Xenopus tropicalis: one gene and its partner. The protein of the gene in region 1 binds, or shares a complex with, the protein of each later gene. Links are inferred from orthologs where the notes say so. Each region holds a gene or a part of one and is shown on either strand. Other genes may lie near its edges.

What was found.
Region 2: exosc8 (region 1) and exosc1 share a complex: the UniProt entries of both Homo sapiens proteins name them as parts of the RNA exosome core complex. The link is inferred for Xenopus tropicalis from reciprocal best matches to the Homo sapiens genes EXOSC8 and EXOSC1.

Annotation. Positions count from the first base shown.
Region 1 is NC_030678.2:151,671,629-151,680,413, forward strand, and holds the end of exosc8 (exosome complex component RRP43), read right to left. Parts: intron 8,526-8,785; coding exon 8,429-8,525; intron 6,331-8,428; coding exon 6,210-6,330; intron 5,416-6,209; coding exon 5,309-5,415; intron 3,985-5,308; coding exon 3,869-3,984; 3' UTR 3,773-3,868; downstream 1-3,772. Other genes in the region: supt20h (transcription factor SPT20 homolog), read left to right, coding at 1-16, 932-1,041, 3,356-3,487. UniProt on the Homo sapiens protein: Non-catalytic component of the RNA exosome complex which has 3'->5' exoribonuclease activity and participates in a multitude of cellular RNA processing and degradation events.
Region 2 is NC_030683.2:32,983,344-32,992,641, reverse strand, and holds exosc1 (exosome complex component CSL4), read right to left. Parts: upstream 6,106-9,298; 5' UTR 6,089-6,105; coding exon 6,061-6,088; intron 5,521-6,060; coding exon 5,405-5,520; intron 5,036-5,404; coding exon 4,961-5,035; intron 4,316-4,960; coding exon 4,227-4,315; intron 3,594-4,226; coding exon 3,560-3,593; intron 3,112-3,559; coding exon 3,061-3,111; intron 2,393-3,060; coding exon 2,308-2,392; intron 2,068-2,307; coding exon 1,961-2,067; coding exon of another isoform or gene 1,888-1,960; 3' UTR 1,459-1,887; downstream 1-1,458. UniProt on the Homo sapiens protein: Non-catalytic component of the RNA exosome complex which has 3'->5' exoribonuclease activity and participates in a multitude of cellular RNA processing and degradation events.

The DNA of each region.
Region 1 (8,785 bases):
CCTCCCCAAGCAGCTGGTACGTATGGCAAGTCTTAAGTCTTTGTCTTCTGTTTATTCCCACGCTGCCCCTTTATGGGCTTTACTAAAGGTAAGCTATAGCAACAGTGTTCATCCTATGTGCTGTGCAGTATTTAGCACTTGTCCGATACTCTACTGACATTCAGACGGATCTCTATAGTAACCAGTAGATGAAAATACCTTATGTGCAATATTAGATCTGCATAGTTTGGGTAAAGCACATTATTTTTCATTAAACCTTCCAGTTCCTTATATAGTAGGTATGCAGCAGCATCTTCCTGCCCTGCAAATGCAAAGCACCATGGTTATTTGCTTACCTACGAACACTGCATTATCCAAAGAAACCGCAAAAATGACATTTGTGTGAGTGTTGCATTCCCCTTAGGGGCAGTTAGCATTTTGGCTATAGCTTCCCTTCACGTTCTTTTGTGTTAAGAGATCATGCAGCAAAACCTCAGCTCTCATAAAGAAGAGATCATCTTTTTCACTAACACCTTCAGTTCAGACCAAAATCAACATCCTATGAGAGACCTGCACCCACTCTTGGACTGAGATTCAAAATAGGCTCTTCCATTTCTGGTGTACAGAGGCCCAAACAGACCCCACCAGCCCAATAAACAGTGACTGTCTATGGCATTTTACAGCAGCCCCTCTGGCCAGAACCCACAGATTGCCAGTCCGGGCCTGCCTGCGCCCCACTTCTCACAAATCCCTGCATCCCTAACACCCATCAGCTCTTGGTAGGCCATTAGGAGCTGTGGTTAAAACAGTCTCTGAAGGACCTCAGATTGAAATTGCCTGCTTTAGAATTTCAGTGTAATAAATAGCTGTCCTGATGTATAGTTTCTCATGCACCTAATCCACCGCTCTACCAGTTTGACCTCCCTGCTTTCCCCCCTTCTCCTCTCTGTAGTGTTGTCTCAGCTTGGCTCTGCTGGGAACAGACCCGGGCAAAACCTGCCATCACAGAGACTGCAGCTCTCTCCTGCCTTACAACAACAGCAGCAGCAGCAACAAATACAAGTAATTCGGCAACTTCTGTGAATAAATGCACATGCTAAGTAAATGCTGCTGCTTTAAATCTACTGTGTAGCTTGCCAACTGAAACAAGCAAGGCCTCATTTTTGTCAGATGACAGCTAGCAAAATAATCTTGCAGTCCCAATTAGAGGTTATTCACTTATAAGAGTGTAGTGTGAATAAAGTGCTATTCCAAGATGTCCTGAGTAGGATCTGCAGTGCATGTGTTATTGCAGAATGCCCCATCTGAAAAGCAATCTACACGGGAATACTTTACTAATCCAAGAAGGTTTGTTTTATGCCACGCACATTTTTTTATACTTCAGCAAATCACAATGCATGGTTCAGGATTTCATAGAGCCCAAAAGCTGCACATGTTTAAGTGTTACAAGATTTTTCTTTATAGTTAGTGCATATGGGCTGGAGCAAGGATAGTCCGTGTTGGCACTATATATATATTATGCAAAAATAATACATACAGTGGTGTTTGAAAGTTTGTGAACCCTTTCAAATTTTCTATATTTTTATATGAATGTGACCTAAAACATCATCTGATATTGAAAGTAGATGAAGAAATCCTAGTTAAACAAATGAAACAAAATGTATTATATTTGGTTGTGTATTTATTGAAAAAATGATCCCATAACAAATCTGTGTGTTGCAAAGGTAAGTGGATCGTTCTCTCTGTATTTGGTGTGACCCCTGTGTTCAGCAACAACTGCACCTAAATGTTTGTGGTAACTGTTGATCAATCCTGCACTTTGACTTGGAGGAATTTGAGTCCATTCCTCTATGAACAGTTTCAGCTCTTGGATGTTGGTGTGTTTCCTTACATGAACTGCTCACTTTAGGTCTTTCCACAACATTTCAATTGGATTATGGTCAGCACTTGGCCATTCTAGAACATTCACTTTATTCCTCTTTAACTATTGTTTGGTAGAACAACTTGTGTGTTTAGGGTCATTGCCTTGCTGCATGATTCACTGTCTCTTCACGGACAGATGTATTGACATTTTCCTTTAGTATTCTCTCATATAGTTAAGAATTCATTGTACCATCCATAATGGCAAGCTGTCCAGGCTCAGAGGCAGCAAGACAGGGCCAAACCAAAACTCTCCCACCACGTTTCGCAGATGGGATAAGTTTCTTATATTTTGTATTTTTGTATTAAGCATTCTTATATATTTTGCTCCTCATTTAATCAAAAAACTTCTATTTTGGCTTCCTTTGTCCACAAAACATTCTTCCAGAATCCTTCTGGTTTGTCCACTTGATCTTTAGCAAACTAGACAGTCAGTAATATTTTGTGGGGAGAGCAGTGGCTTTCTCCTTGCTACGCTGCCATATACACCATTGCTGTTCTGTGTTCTCCAGCTGGTGGACTCATGAACATCAACATTCGCCATTGTAAGACTGGCCTTCAGTTGCTTAGAAGTTACCCTGGGTTCCTTTGTAACCTCTATTAGATGCCTTGCTGTTGGAGTCTTTGATAGTCATCCACTGCTTGGTAGGGTAACAACACACTAGAATTTCTTCCATTTGAACACAGTTTCTTTGACTGCTGATTGTCGAAGTCCAAACGGTTTAGATAGTCTTGTAACCTTTTCCAGCTTTATGGGCATCAACAACTCTCTTTCTAAGGTCCTCAGACACCTTCTTTGTTTGAGCCATGATGCACATCCACAAATGTGTTGTATGTGTGATTTGCTTTGCTGGATCCGCTTTCTTTAAATAAAACAGGGTCTCTCACTCACACCTGATTGTCATCCCATTGACTGCAGAATTTTTTTTTTTTCAATATATGACCAAATATAATAATTTTAGTTTCATTTGTTTACTTTTAGGGCTTGTTTGAAAATTAGATGTTTTAGGTCACATTCATATAAAAATATAGAAAATTTGAAAGGGTTCACAAACTTTAAAAAAAACCACTGTGTGTATATTTGTATATAATATAGTTCAGCCACATCTTTGTCCAGGTCTGGGAATATGGCAACTTTTAGAACCATTGTAGAATAATACCTTCCAAGATCCTTCCCCCCCCCAGTTTTGGGGGACAATGAAGCTGTAAGAGCCTTGCTTTTCCCTGAGAGTGGAAGTTAGCAGTTGAGGTGCTTTGGGGATTCTGGTGCTGCATGATTGCCCAATCAATTCTTGGTCCCCCTTCCTGCATTGGTGTACTGCCTAAATTCCATGCAAACCTGCTTGAGCTACGAGCCTCACTCTCAGTAAGGTGAGCAGTAAAACCCTAGCACGGTGTACAGCTTTAACATATGTTGAAATGGCTTTAACCCTTTGTCTCCACCTTGCATTGACAGTTGCAATTCTTGCATCATCAAATGGCTATGGCAACAGCAGCACAAGCAGCCCAGTTCCCGCCCCTGCCTCATTCCGACAGCCAATCAAGAAGTAAAAGGAGGGGCAGTGCCGGATTTGACGCAAAACCCTGAGCCTTGAACTCCATATCACACCTTTGAGCAGAATTATTAACCGACTATTGCCTTCCAATTACTATTTTTTTAAAACTGTTTTAAATTATTCTTACACGAATACTTGCAAACGAGCTTTGTGAAGAGATGTCTGACTTATATGTGCATTAAAATGGACATACATTATTAGTGGTCTGGGGGCCTTCACAAACCTGGTGGGGGGGGGGGGAAAGATTTTTAACTTGCATCCATGTGAGGAGGAGACTGAGACGCTGCACCCATAGAGACAGAACTGTAGCGAGTAAATGTAGCCATGGTAATGTTTATTTAGTACAAAAGGTGTGCAATCACTGTAACAAATACAACTTTTTACATGGTCATTTTTAAAATGAATATGCCTACTTATTCTGACTTGACACTGGCCAGCGCCTCTTGCAGAAGGTTCGTCACCTCTTTGTGTCTCGTGATGGCTCGACTGATGCACTCCTGGAGCTTCTCTGCTGCAAGGGCACTCCCACCTTTGCGTAAAAAAAAAAAAGTTAATATATTACAGATTAACATGAAAATTCCCCCTTTTTTTAACAAGAATGCATCACTCTTCCCCAAGAGATACACAAACAAAAAAATGGTATTTCTTAAATGTCTGTTTTCACTCAAAAGGTAAGAAACAAAGCTGAAGCACATAGAAATGTAATCTATAGGTCAGGATATGGGTTCCAATGTTTAAGGTGGGCCACGATTACCCCCCCTAATTACAGTCAACTTTCATCTGCAATAGAAAATGGTTAATAAAAAAAAAATGTTACTAAATCAATTTTTGGGACACACAGTTCATCCCTCAAATTTGTGCCCCTTAACAAAACACCCCGGCACCTAGTGAGCAGCCTGATCAAGAAGCTTTACCAAGGGAGAATTGCTGGCTTATGGCCTAACCACTGACCTTCCTATTCACTGCACTGCAGAATATTTCAGTGGGGCAAGCCACAATGATTCCAGGACTTTATTTTTGGTTACAGTGAAACCACAGAACACACAAGGAGCCTTGTTGCACATCCGATAATCTTAGTTCTAAAAGTGTGGGGAAATTAGTCTTATATTTACATTGGAATTGTTTTTATTTCTTGCACTAAACAGGACAAAGACTAAAAGTAAAAAAAGTCACAATTACTTCCTGGTTCTGAAAAGGTAGTTTTAAAAAGCCTTCTTTCTCCTAAGCTGCAGACTAGATTGGCTTTTAAATAGGAGTATCTCATTATACAGAGGCTTCTCAATAGACTAATGATTTGTTTTGACTGTTTGTACAAAACCAGGAAGGAGAATGTGACTTTCAGGTTCAGATTTTGTTCTGTTTAGAGCATAAATAATAACATAGATATTTCTTAATTGAAACAACAGGTAAAAAGTATATTTAGCACTAACATTGCGCTGATGCTGGAAAATGAGCTGTACTGCCCTTTTATAAATTGCATAGGATTAATTCAGATATTGCCTGAAGGCCAAGCTGGGTGAACACTCTTCATTTAGGTTGCATCTGTGGCAAGCTACACTTACAGAGGAAAGGTTAAAGGTTTAATTATCTACCTATCCCTCAAGATTTTTTTTTTCTTGCTGTACTCCAAGGCATCAGGAAAAATATGACTTGCCCAACAAACCATGGGTGTAGTAACAAAAACAAAACAAACAAACAAACACATTCGCTCTTATTAACAAGCATCTCTCTAAGTTCATACAGGGTTTACAATGTATGTCCTGTTTTACATATGGTTGGGAGAGAACTGTCCCAGTGGCATCAGCTGGTTATAAAGCAAAGCAGCCATTGTTCTTCATCGCCTGTAGATGTACCTGGTTTTCGAGTGGCACATAACCTTTCATCTTCATCAGTCACAACAGTGAGTAGTCCGCTGGCCAAGCCCTCCTCTTCCCCTGTGGGATCCACCAGAAGGAATGTGCTAGGAAAGAAAATAACACACTTATATGCGTAATCTGGGACAGTGCAATAGGTTTGGTGATGGAGAGTAAGCATTCCTCACACAAGATCAAACCCTCAGCCTCCGACACCTACCTCTGTGATTAATCGGTCACAAGATGGGACCAGCATACTGTATAGGGAGCCATTATTATATTTTATAGAACTATTTTAAAGTAGAGATCCCCATGAGAATACTAATACACTAGTGATTCTGCTTATCACAAGGCCTGTCCGTAATCAGCTCTGAAGCTGAAGGGACTTGCACCTTTAATGATGTTCCCAGAAGTGAAGGTCCCATTGAAGTGTTATTGTTATTACGTTAAAGTGAATGTAGTGTTCACGTATGCCTATCTTGTCTGTATGGACAAAAACATATAACTGTATACAGAGCTTAAACAAAAAAAAAAAAACAGACCTTTATTGACCTGTTGACATCAAACACAAGGCAATCTGTGGTCACCACAGTTAAAACCCATTTATCCAACCTGTGCCCCAATACTGCTCTGCACGCCCTGTCACTCATGATAACAGGCAGGGTTGGTGGCCCCCATGTCAGGCTGCTTGACTTTCTCCCCCAGGCTTTCTGGCGCCAATGGCTGACCAGGCTTCAACTTCCCCAGTGCCCACCCCCAATCCTCTCACAAGCTTCTGAGCTGGTGTCTCCAGTGAAAACTCATATAAAAAAACGGTAGAGGGTCTCATCACTTACTCAGAACATCACTGCCCTATAGCCCCAAGCCTCACTAGCTTTAGCAAAGGACTTCAAATACTTACTCATCAAATACTGCAAATGATGTTGCAACGGGGTGTTTCAGGATTTTCAGAGCATGTTTTGTTTTCAAATTGACTTCTGCTAAACCAGTCTCCTCGTTTATTTTAACAGATGGCAATCTTACTGCAGAGGGAAACCAATAACATTGGCACAGGCACCATTAGATACTAATAATAGTCAATTTTGTGACATTCAAGAGCAACGTGAGTTCATCAACCGCAAATCCTACTGAAATGTCCATAAATATTTCATAATGCCTATAAACAGGCAAATAATAAAATAACTGCTGACTAAGGACAAACTGTTTTATCCTCCAGAATAAATGGAAAGCTTTCTACAGACCATCTTCTGTGTATAGTGCTTAATAACATTCCATGGGGCCCAGAAGGGACAGGCAGCTCCAATTGTGGGCCTTCGTTGCACAACTGCTGGAATGTATATTCTACCAACAGAACATGTTTGTTCCTAGGTAGGGTGCCTTAAATGAGGCCCAAGCAGAGGCTCCACACAGGGACCTGCAGGGTGGCAGTTGCAAGCAGTGCATAAGAAGAGAAACCCTCGTTTTGCTGTAAATATTTGTATTGACTGCAGCAGTGGGAGAGTATCATAAGGCAAAATACACATTATATTGGCATGGGCTCCAACAACCACTTTTAGCATCCACCAGTAGGCCAAAAGCTGTCATGGGTTGCTTGGGATTATAGTGCAGTGACACCTTGGGAGCTGCAGATTGCATTATAAAGAATGGGATCCTGAACAGCTAGAGCTTGAGACATCCCAGAGACATAAATCGATAGTGGTGGAATTCCACTCTGTGATGCTACAGACTGTGGCGAGTTCAAGCTTCGCTGTTTGATCATTTTGCCTCATGTTTTTTTCCCTATCCACTCCCACCAGAATGGCCTGGTCTAGGAAAGGACACTTTTGATTTCACTTTAGGATGTGCCCTTACATTAATGTGCAATATTTAGCACCACAACATATGTAGCTTGTAGTAAATACACAGTTCACCACATTAAAGGAGAACTAACTTTTATCTAAAGGAGGAAGGGAGAAACATTGTATATTATATTTTGTATGAGCCAAAGACAGCCACAGCCCTTTAGCAGGGAAGATCTGTGCCCCCAGTAGCCCCCATCTTCTTTTCTGCTGATTCCCAGCACATGCTCTGTGCTGCTGTCACTTACCTGAGCTTAGGGACCCACTCACACTATACTGTATATATAGAATATAAACTGCGGCTGAACTATAAAGGAAGCAGACCTCAAGGGGGACATGACCACAGGGTTTGCTTTGTCTGTAGCCTAGAGATCCCACCCCCAGCCACTCATTTAAATATTTATGCAGGACCACAAGAGCATGCCGGGCCCCCGCCCCCCCACATTTTTTTTCTTTTGAGAAGGGGGGCCACTGCTGAATATAAGTATAACAATATAAGACTGATTAGTATACAATAAAAATTATTAGTATGTCATCTCAGAAACTAGTGCAATTACCATCAGCTTATATTACAGACAAACCTCATTTTCTGCTTGATAATTTAGCTGCTCAGAGCACACTGAGCATGTGCAGTGTCACTGACACTTCTAACAAAATCAAAGATGTAGGAGCTTCTGTGCATAACTTTAAAGGGATCATTATAGAGATGCTGAACCTTTAGGCTGGTGCAATAAGTTCAATACATATAATTTGGCATTTCTAGCTATATTCATTTTTATGGTTTAGTTCTACTTTAAAGGTAAACTAAAGCTTAACATAGAAGTAGGGTAAAAATGTTGTACATTATGTTTGGGGGTTTGTACCAGCCCAAGGCAACCCCAGCCCTTTAGCAGGGAAGATCTGTGTCTCATAAAATGCCATTTTTTTTTCTGCTGATACACTGAACATGTAACTTCCTTATAATTTAATAATCAGCCCTGTAGCACCAGGTTATATGACAGACAAACCTTATAATTTGCAACAACCGCTAACTGGAAAAGTTCAATAGGGAGGTTTTGGACAGCCAGACCTAGATAATGGAATGGATTGCATAAGCAATGCAAAAACGTCAAACTGAGCCAGTCTGCTCTGGGGGTATATTTGGTATTAACATGAATCTCAGACATAATAATAAACAAGTGATTCCCACTGAGGTTTAGTGGCAACAGGACTTGCAACAGCTGTACAGCACTTCATTCTTACCCTGTACCCTCAAAGACTGTTTCACTGAACAATGACTTACCATTCTGTAAAGCAGCAACCAAAGCACACATGCAAGTATCAAGAAGGTTTCCATCGTAATCGAGACATATGAGATCACAGTACAGAACCCATGCTAGCTAGAGAGGGGAAAGAACAAAAATAAGTCAAAGGGGAACTATACATTTAATATTAAAGTATAACCAATAGCTCATTTATAGTCCACTAGGTCACCTTTCAAAAAATTAAACTAAATTGGCATATACATATCAGTATATAATGCCCTTTATAAATTTTACCTTACATGTAAACCCTACATTTTCCTACCATGTATATAAGTTGGACACAACTCCCCCACCCACACCGCATCATTTGTATTACATATATCCCTCTGTTTGCC
Region 2 (9,298 bases), on another chromosome or scaffold:
CCCGGGGTACCTGGAGCAATGCGCTTCCTCCTTCCGCCTTTGTTTCGCTAAGACTAACACAATAGGCGCATGCACAGTAGAGTTAAAAGCCGACTTCTCTGTTAAAGTTCCACTATTCACTCTACTGCGCATGCGCGCAAAGCAGGAAGCGCTGCAGCTACCCTGGGCTGGTGCTGTTTTCTCTGAACAGGGGCACCAGCCCGGGGTAAAAAGTATGCGATTAAAGTCACTTGGGGGTGCCTAACATTTTGGCACCCCCAAGTGACTTTGCCTTTCCTTCTCCTTTAAAGGCTCTTAAATTAACCTCTTCTCTAGCATGGCTGACAACATCAACAACTGTACTAGCTATGTGCTCAAACTAAGGCCTTTATCCAAGCCTTCCTGCAGAAATTCAGGCATACCTAGGATTGTCGGTTCCAGGCATCTATCTCATTTTTGGAAGCCCAGTCTCTAAATATGTTGAACACCGCATACTATCTCTGAGATGACTTTCTAGATCTCAACAGAGTAGTTATAACAGCCTCAGAACAACCTAGCTGTGCTAACCTTCCCCTCTCAGCCTCAATCCTGATGAATCTGGATGCCACAGACCCTAGTTGAGAATCTATCCATTGCAGAGTAGCCGCCACTTGGTTTTTGTGTTCCTCCAGAACTTCCCTGCTTCTGGCAAGTAGCAAAAGGTCATCTAGATACTGATATTTTTCTACACCCATTTCTCTGAGCATTGCAATAACAACTACTAACCACCTTCATGAATGTCCTGGGGGACGTGGATAACCCGAAAGGTAGGCATGTAAATTGCAGATGCTGGTGACCTATAGCAAACCTGAGGAATTGTTGATGTCCTTGGGCTAACGGTACATTCAAATACACATCCTTCAGGTAAATGGTACACAGGCAGTCCCTGGGTCATATGGCTGCTTTAACAATTTGGATTGTTTCTGTTTTGAAGCTTTGTATGTACAGCTGCAAGGTCTAATATAGGTCTCATCTCGCCCAATAACTTTCTTATTAGAAAAAGAAAAACCCTTCACCTTCTTCTCCTTGCAGCACATGCACTGCTGTCCCTTTGGAAAGTAAGTCTAAGATGTACTGCAGCATTACAATCTAGTCTGACAAGGAAACTGACCAGGGAGTGTTGGCAAACGTACAAGAGAGATTTTTGGCGAAACTCTAATCGTTACTTCTTGCAACTGCACAAACTCAGGCATCCTGTTTATCCTCTGTCCAAACCTAGAACTGGAGGAGTCTTGCCACAACTCTGGGAAGCTGGGCATCTGAATGCGGCTCATAAGTGAAAAAAAAAAGTGTGGGGATCCCTGGTATTTTTGGAGCCAGCAAAATACATTCCCTAATACATTGTTCACATGCATTCTGTCTCTTTTACTCTTACTACAAGAGCTTCACAAGATATACCGTTACAATCTCACTGACCAAAATAGTGGTTCTGTGAATAAATGACAAAAAAAATACATTTTATTCTCATAGAGGAAAATGTACAAAATACAAATAAAACTATTTTAAGAGAAAAAAAAACACATATCTGATCAATTAAACTTTTGGAGCAAAGAAATACTGTTAAAAAGACTGATGCCCATGAGGGGATTAGTCGCCCACAGTTAAATATCAACTACCGCAGGCAACTAATCTCCGTAAAATGACAGTAGCAATGACTTCAGAAAACTGAAGCTACATGTATGCCTTTCCATCGGCGATTTACTTTATTGTCAGTGGAGAGGCATTAGCCTAAATGAAGGGAACCGAGTTACATTTTTGTTGGCTTGTCTTAATTTTAACCACCAAAATTATGGAGGCAACAAGGCACTCAAGGTTGCAAGCACAAACAAATATAAAATCATTGTTTGCCATAATACAAATTAAGATAATTCAGAACTGCCTGGCTACCGAGTGGTTAGATACAACTACAAGGAGCTTAAATGCCTGTGCCACATGTTGTTCTCTATGTCTGCAGAAACTCTGGCTGCACCCGTGCAACTTTCCTCTGTTCTTTAATGTGCGTCTTTGGACACTGCATCTCACACCAGCTGATTGGCACCATAGTAGCTCCTGGGACAAAAACAAGCAGATGCTGATTAGTATGCAAATAGTGTGTTCATAACATATCCACACACATCTGAGTAGTCATTATGGAGGAACAGATATAGTGAGAGTGTGCCAAAGTTTGGAGATCCCTGGAACATACTGCCATTCAAGGCCCAAAAAAAGAAAGTGCTGAAGGGCACAGTAAGAGGAAACTGATGGTCACCCTTTCAGTGATCATCAACAACATCAACACAACATACTTACCTGCTTCACTATGAGCAACTACAACACCCAGCTCATTCTCTGCTGTGCTTAATAGATAATTAGACTGGATGTCACCCAAAGATATCTTATGCAAAAGATCAGGAGATAAAACTTTTTTAAAAAAAGAAATCAATTCAATACTCAAAATATACTGCAGGCAACACCAATTGGTAAACTACACCTCTGAACAATATACACTATATGGCCAAAAGTATCCGGGCACCTGCTATAACTCGGCTACTCTTTCTGAAAGGCTTTTCAATAGAAGCTGGAACATTGTTGGGTGGGATTATGGAACAATAACAGCCCTATGCACAAAGTTAGGTCCCTGCAGAATGGGTTTGCCGAGATAGGAGAGGAAGAACTTGAATGGGCTGCACCGAGTCCTGACCTCAACCAGACAGAACAACTGTGGGACAAACTGGACTGCAAGCCAGATCCAATCCCCAACATCAGTGCCCAACCTTGCTAATGCTCTTGTGGCTCAATGGAAGCAAATCCCACCAATAATGTTCTCGAAACTAGTGATTTTTTTTGAAGAGAGGCAGGTGTTTGGGTAGTTTTGGGAATATAGTGCAGCAGAATTTCAAAAGACAAATCATAATGATAATAATGGCATGAACAGATGTAAAAGTTAAGAATAAATCAAATAGTATATTTATTATGTTTGCGAAGAAGATAATATGTGAATACCTGGTAAATACTAATTACAGGCAATATATGTTTAATTGATTTGAACAGCTAAAAGGATACCACTTTGGCCATTACGATATCTCCTGGACGGAAGCTTTTATAGACTTCAACCTTTAAAGACAGAATATATTAAAAATATAGAAGGCCATGCACCTTTGATTTGTGATATTTTCTTTAAATCGCTGAAATATTACACCTATTTGGAATAAGAGCATTTGGGATTAAGGGAGAAGGAAAGAGGGGTGCTTAATATTTAGGCACCCCCAGTGATCAGTCTGGGGTACTTTCTGTGAGAGCACCGCATCCCAATCATCTTCATTCTTCAGTGGCCCCAAGTTGGGGCGTGCGCAGTAGAGAGGAAAAGCTGGCATTTTTCACACTGCTGTGCATGCATATCCACCGTGAAGAAGGAAGAACCAGCAAACTGTTCTCTGGGCCAGTGTAGTTTTTTGCTAACAGGAGCACAATCTGGGGTATGCAGTAAGTGATTACAATCTCGGAGAGGGTGCCTAACATTTTTTTTTTTTACTCACAAAAACAAACAAGCGGGTCCAGTTACCTTGTCTTTTTCTGTAGCACGAATGTCTTCTTTCCTAGAAGCCAAAAAGCAACTATTTATACATAAGGCAATAATGTTAGATGCCCAGCTCTGGCTCTTAATCATATAATTTCTAAAAACACTGTGTAACACCTTAAAATGTACTTTTAAGCAATTCATACACAGGCAAACAGATTCAATAGCTTTTTTTGGATTTTTAATTTATTCTTAAATTTTTTGTTCTGCTGCTCTGAGGGTTGGAATTTAAATTCTCACTGCCAGGGGTTAATTATCCTAAAAACCAATGCGCAATCTTTACATGAAAGATGAAGAACAGCGGGCCCTGAAAAGAAATATAACCACTATCCATAACTGTCAAGCCCTGCAGTAAATATTTTGTTTTGCTGCTGGGGTCAGTGTCCTCAAATCCCCAGCCCGCATTTTCAGCTGCATGTATAAAGGAATCCATCTCCTGGTTCTCGTGACTTTTACTAATCTTCTGCAATACACAAGCCCAATCTTGCTTTATGGCATAAAAATTAAATTGCAAAAGGGGTTATGCGATTTTTTTTGAGCAAATGTCAGAACACATCTTCAACACCCAGAAATGCCAGTACATGGGCTCCCTCTATACTGCAGAAGGTTTACTTTAAATAAGAAGGGTCTAGCCTCAGAGTAAATCCTTTACCTGATTGTGCCTCGAAATGTGTTACTCAGTGGAGTTGAACCAATATACATAATTTGGACCTTTGCAAACCTGGAGTTAATGCTTGTTACCTAATTATGAATGGAAATAAAGACTAAATTAGAAACTCCATAATAATAAATGAAGTTTATTATAAGAATGAAAAATTAAAAAGTAAATGAAAAAAAGTTCACATTTCAAATTGACAAATACTGTGTTATAAAACATAGTGGAGCTTAAAAAAATAAATACCAGTTACAGATTGCCTCAAAGTATTGGTTCATTTAAAGTGAATATTACAATCTATAAAAGCTGATGTACAGATGGCACTCTCTTAGTTTTCCCACAATCATTATCATCTCCTTCCAAAGTGCTCCTTTTAAGCTTGTAAGTACCTCGTATCTCACAATAACCCATCATTTGGCTGGGACATGTTAATGTCATTGAGCCCTTTACACAGCTCCTTACCAGTCCTCTTGTACCTAAGCCAGCTTTTATGCTGAAAGGTCACCAAAAAGAGGATTTTTGCCTGATCATAAAAACTATATACATGGGTGGGATCAATGTTGGCTTCTACTCCTACTAACTGCTTTGTATAGCTGAGAAACAAATGACTGCCCTAAACCCAGCCCCCCCCCCCCCCCCCCCAAAAAAAAAAAAAAAAGATACATTTTACCACCTGTTATAACACAACACCACTACAGAATTCTACTTTGGTGTGCAAAATACATTCTTACCTTACAAGTGACAACAGAGCCAACATCTGGCAGAAGATGTGAATCAGTCTCTCTTACCACAGAAATAACTGGCATCTAGAAACCAAAAAAGTGCAGGTAAGGAAATAAAAATTTTAAATAAAAACTATATTATACTGGGGACAGTCTGCACAGGAGCAGCAAATTATTGTACTTTCAGAAATAGTTTAAAGATGAGCTTCAACATTACTTCAGGGCTGCATGTATGGGTGGGATCAATAGTATTGTCTAGGTGGCAAGACCCAACTGCCTGCTGGCACATATTCAACAATGTAAGACTGAGCTGGCTGCAAACTCCCAGTGACTGCTTTGTATAGTTGGGAAACAAATGACTGCCCTAAAATCCTCCCGAAAACATAAATGTTACCACTCGTGTATCGTATCTCAGCTATGTATAATAACAACCTACTACAGAAAACTACTTACCAAGCCATTGTCAGTTTTCTTCACTATGTAACCTGCCAGGGAGGCAAAAATATAGCCATGTCTGCAGAAAGTTCCATATCCAGGGGCACAGTCTTCAGTGCTGCACAGCCTTTCACCTGCAGAGGTTAAAAGAAAGATAACACAATAATACAACTCTGCACAGGGTATATAAAAAACAACCAACTTTTAAAAGTAAAAATAATATATTACTTCAGAGATTAGAACTTGAACTCAGAATTCCCAGAATGAAGCCTGACAGGAGAGCTGAAATTATATATATATATAGATTGTAAGCTCTACGGGGCAGGGACCTCCATCCTCTTGTGTCTTTGACTCTTAACTTATTGCAACTGTAACTGTATCTTGTATTTATTTGTATTTATTGTTATACTTTGTATTCATCTATTATCTTATTAACCCCCTGTTTGTATTAATCTATTCTACTGTACAGCGCTGCGTACATAAGTAGCGCTTTATAAATAAAGATATACATACATTTACTACAACACGAGCAGGAGAAATGTTTCCACAATTTCTTTTTACGGCATCCCTACTGTTATTACATCTCAGTCACTAACCCACAGCACTCCTACCCAACCCAGTCCTTCCTTACCAGGCACCGACACTAACTAAACACTGTGCCCTGCTTCACTCACCCGGCACACAGCACCTTACAGGAGCCATGATAAACACGTGATAACCAATACTGGGCAATGAAGGCTCCGATTGGGTACATCCCGGTTAGTGACGTAACATATCCTGCCATTGGCTCTTCAGCCGTCGCAGCGTGATGACGTACCACGTAGCAATTGTACAATTTGAGGCTGGAGTTCTGGCAGCCTTTACTTTATCTTAAAAAAACAGTGTTATGTTAGTATTAGTCTGTGTTCTAGAAATCGATTTTCATTTCTAAAAAAATATGGTTTTACATATCACAACCTGGCCAGATATGTGTTCCTATAGCAACAGAATGTCATTTACACTGCTTTTCCTGTGACTGTAATAGTTATTAGAAAACGTTCTCTTCACTATGACGTTGCATGGAAACCATAGCGAGGCAGGCTCTCTCAGCGTGAGGCTTCTGTACAGTGGTGCTTCCATCGAAAATCGATAGGTATATATATTTTCCTTAATAACGCAGAAAGAATACCGGACGAGGGGGTTACGGAATAAGACGCTATTCTTGGGATGTACGTTTCTCCCTTTTTGACCTCGTAACCTATAGGGGATAATCAGAACTTACAAAATGGTGTAATTATTCTCAGGGACAGGAGGCACACAGACAGCAATAAGCTCTTGCCTCGTACACCTACTGTAAGAAGAAAATATTTGAATATTTGAGATATATATATATATATACATGTGTGTATATACACCTTGCTTTATAATTGAACTTTTATCTTCTGTCAGTAACTAGGCCAGTAACTAACAACACTGCCAAGATGAATAATTCCTAGCCCTAATATACTTATTTAAAATTGACACAATTCACTAGTTTCCAACACAGTTGTCACCTGGGCATACAGTAAAATGCTTTTTAATTGTGTACCATTCATAGGGTCTAATAAACTAGTGGCAAGGGGGTTGTGCAGTTACTGTGTGGCCAGCGCAGATACAGTGCTGTACTGCCCCTTATGCACTAAAGCAGGTGCCACTGGAAAATAAGCATACAGCATGGGCATAGGCAGGCACAAGTACACATTGCATATAGCATTTAACAGCATCTTTTGTTAGTGCCTAGAAATTGTAATTGAGACCTTTACATAGTAGATGTGGTTGAAAAAGGACACACCCTTCAAGTTCAACGTTTTCTCTAAGAGAAACACCACTAATATCTAGTTAATCTGGAGCAATACAGATATCAGAAGGCATCTCCCATAAGCCTTAAAGGGAGTGAAGTAATTACTCCAACAATCCCTGGATCAACTTTTTGCTAAGAATTAAAAAAGTTTATTAACATATACCAACTCTTCTGGAACTAAGGAAAATGCTTGACAGAAAAGGGTATAAGGATACTATTGTTTAATAAACAGTGGCAGTCTCCAGCAGGAAGGGCAGGCACGGTATTGGCCTTTATTATTGTGAGTAAGCCATAGAGGTGCAAGGAAGCCCCTGTACTTTACACTCTCCTTTGCACTGTTCATTTAATGTATTTTATGAACAAAAACTATAGCACACACACATACCTTTACTTCCTTTCCAGAATGTCACAAGTGCAAATTGTGCAAGAATTACCATAGTTTGCACCTAGAGGTTGAAGAAGTCACCTTTTTTGGCTTCGGCAGTGTTAGGAAATGAGGTCTGTTTTTGACAAGAACCTATTTTTTTATTTTTAGCTACAAAACACGCCTGCCCTATTTTATTTGTATGCTGTATATGCTTCGGCATCTATTGTTACAACAGAAACTCTCCCGAGTGTTATTTGAGGATTTTTTTTTCAACTTGAGATTTTCATACAAAAAAGAGGAAAAGGAAAGAAAGGGAGACAATAAGAGACAGGAGAGAGGTAAGTATCGGAGAGATCATGGTGGAGTGGGGGTATATAGTCCAAGATCATTCGCTACTAAACCTGGGTGAATCTTTTCCTGACGTTATCCTGTGGTGGTGGAGTTAGGTGTTTGTTGGTTGACTGCCGGGTGCATTTTCTAGCTTTATGTGGCTGCTGTTAGTTTTTGAGAAATTTGGTTTTCCATGCTTGGTGGGAAAGTATTTCTCTGTTGCGTGTTTTTCGTACGTAAGGTTAGAGTCTGTGAGGTTGATCAGTTTTTCCTTAGTTGGTATGGTTTTCCATTGTCGTGGTATTAATAGCCTGGCCAAAATGATAATGGGGTAGGTAAGTTTCCTTAGGTTTGGAGGTATATTTTGTAGTCGATGGTTAAGTAGTGCTAGTGAGGCAGTTAGTGGGATTAGTATATTTGTTGTTTCATACAATAGTAGTGAGACATCTGCACAGAAGGGGGCAAGTGCTGGGCATTCCCACCACATGTGGATTAGTGTTCCTGTTGTTTTGTTGCACCTCCAGCAGGTGGACGAGGTGTTTGGATATATCTGATTGAGGGTGTTTTGTACCCTCTGAATAGAATTTTTCTTTGGTTCTCTATGTGGTTAGTAAATTTGAAATATTTGTAAGCTGCGTTAGCCACTTGAAGCCAATGGGCTGTTGTAAACGTTGTGTTAAGATCGCTTTCCCATTTTAGGATAGGTGCTGGCTTTATTTGAGGATAATTTCAATACTTTCAGCTTGGCTGTTTTTAAAAAGTAGAGTAGATTAATGCTACTAAATATCACATAGGGTGAAACAACAGCACATATGCTGGGGTACCTGCAGTATTCCCAGTTGTATTATGTGAGCATTATTAGTGCCAAAAGCATGACAAGAAAATGTAAAGCCTTGTCCTGAAGATTACACATCCAGTGATTCAAGATGTTTCACTATACCTAGAATTAACTGATTTCTTTACATATTGTTGACATTTCCTTCCATCAGTGTCTCTCCCATGAATAAATAAATGAGAAGTTCAGGGCCTAGGACGGAATGGTAATACAACTGTATACAGATGATTCATTATGTGTCAGTGCCTTCCAGACTGTGATAGAAATGAGCTTATTTGAGCTTCACATGAATGCAAGAGCTCACACTAATAGGCTTATTTATCAGTTTGAGAATTCAAAATTGTTTTTCTAATTCAAATAAACTAACATTTTTAATGTATGCTTATTTATTAATAAGGAAATGAAAAAACTTCAATCTCTAGAATTTGTGCAATTACAAAAAAAAAAAAAGAATTTGAAAATCTCAAATTGAAAATATGGCTCGACTTTGCCTAGGACAACTCCGATCACATTCCCCACAAGCATCTGTGCCAGGCCCAAGGTTCTGTTCTCTGCAGCTGG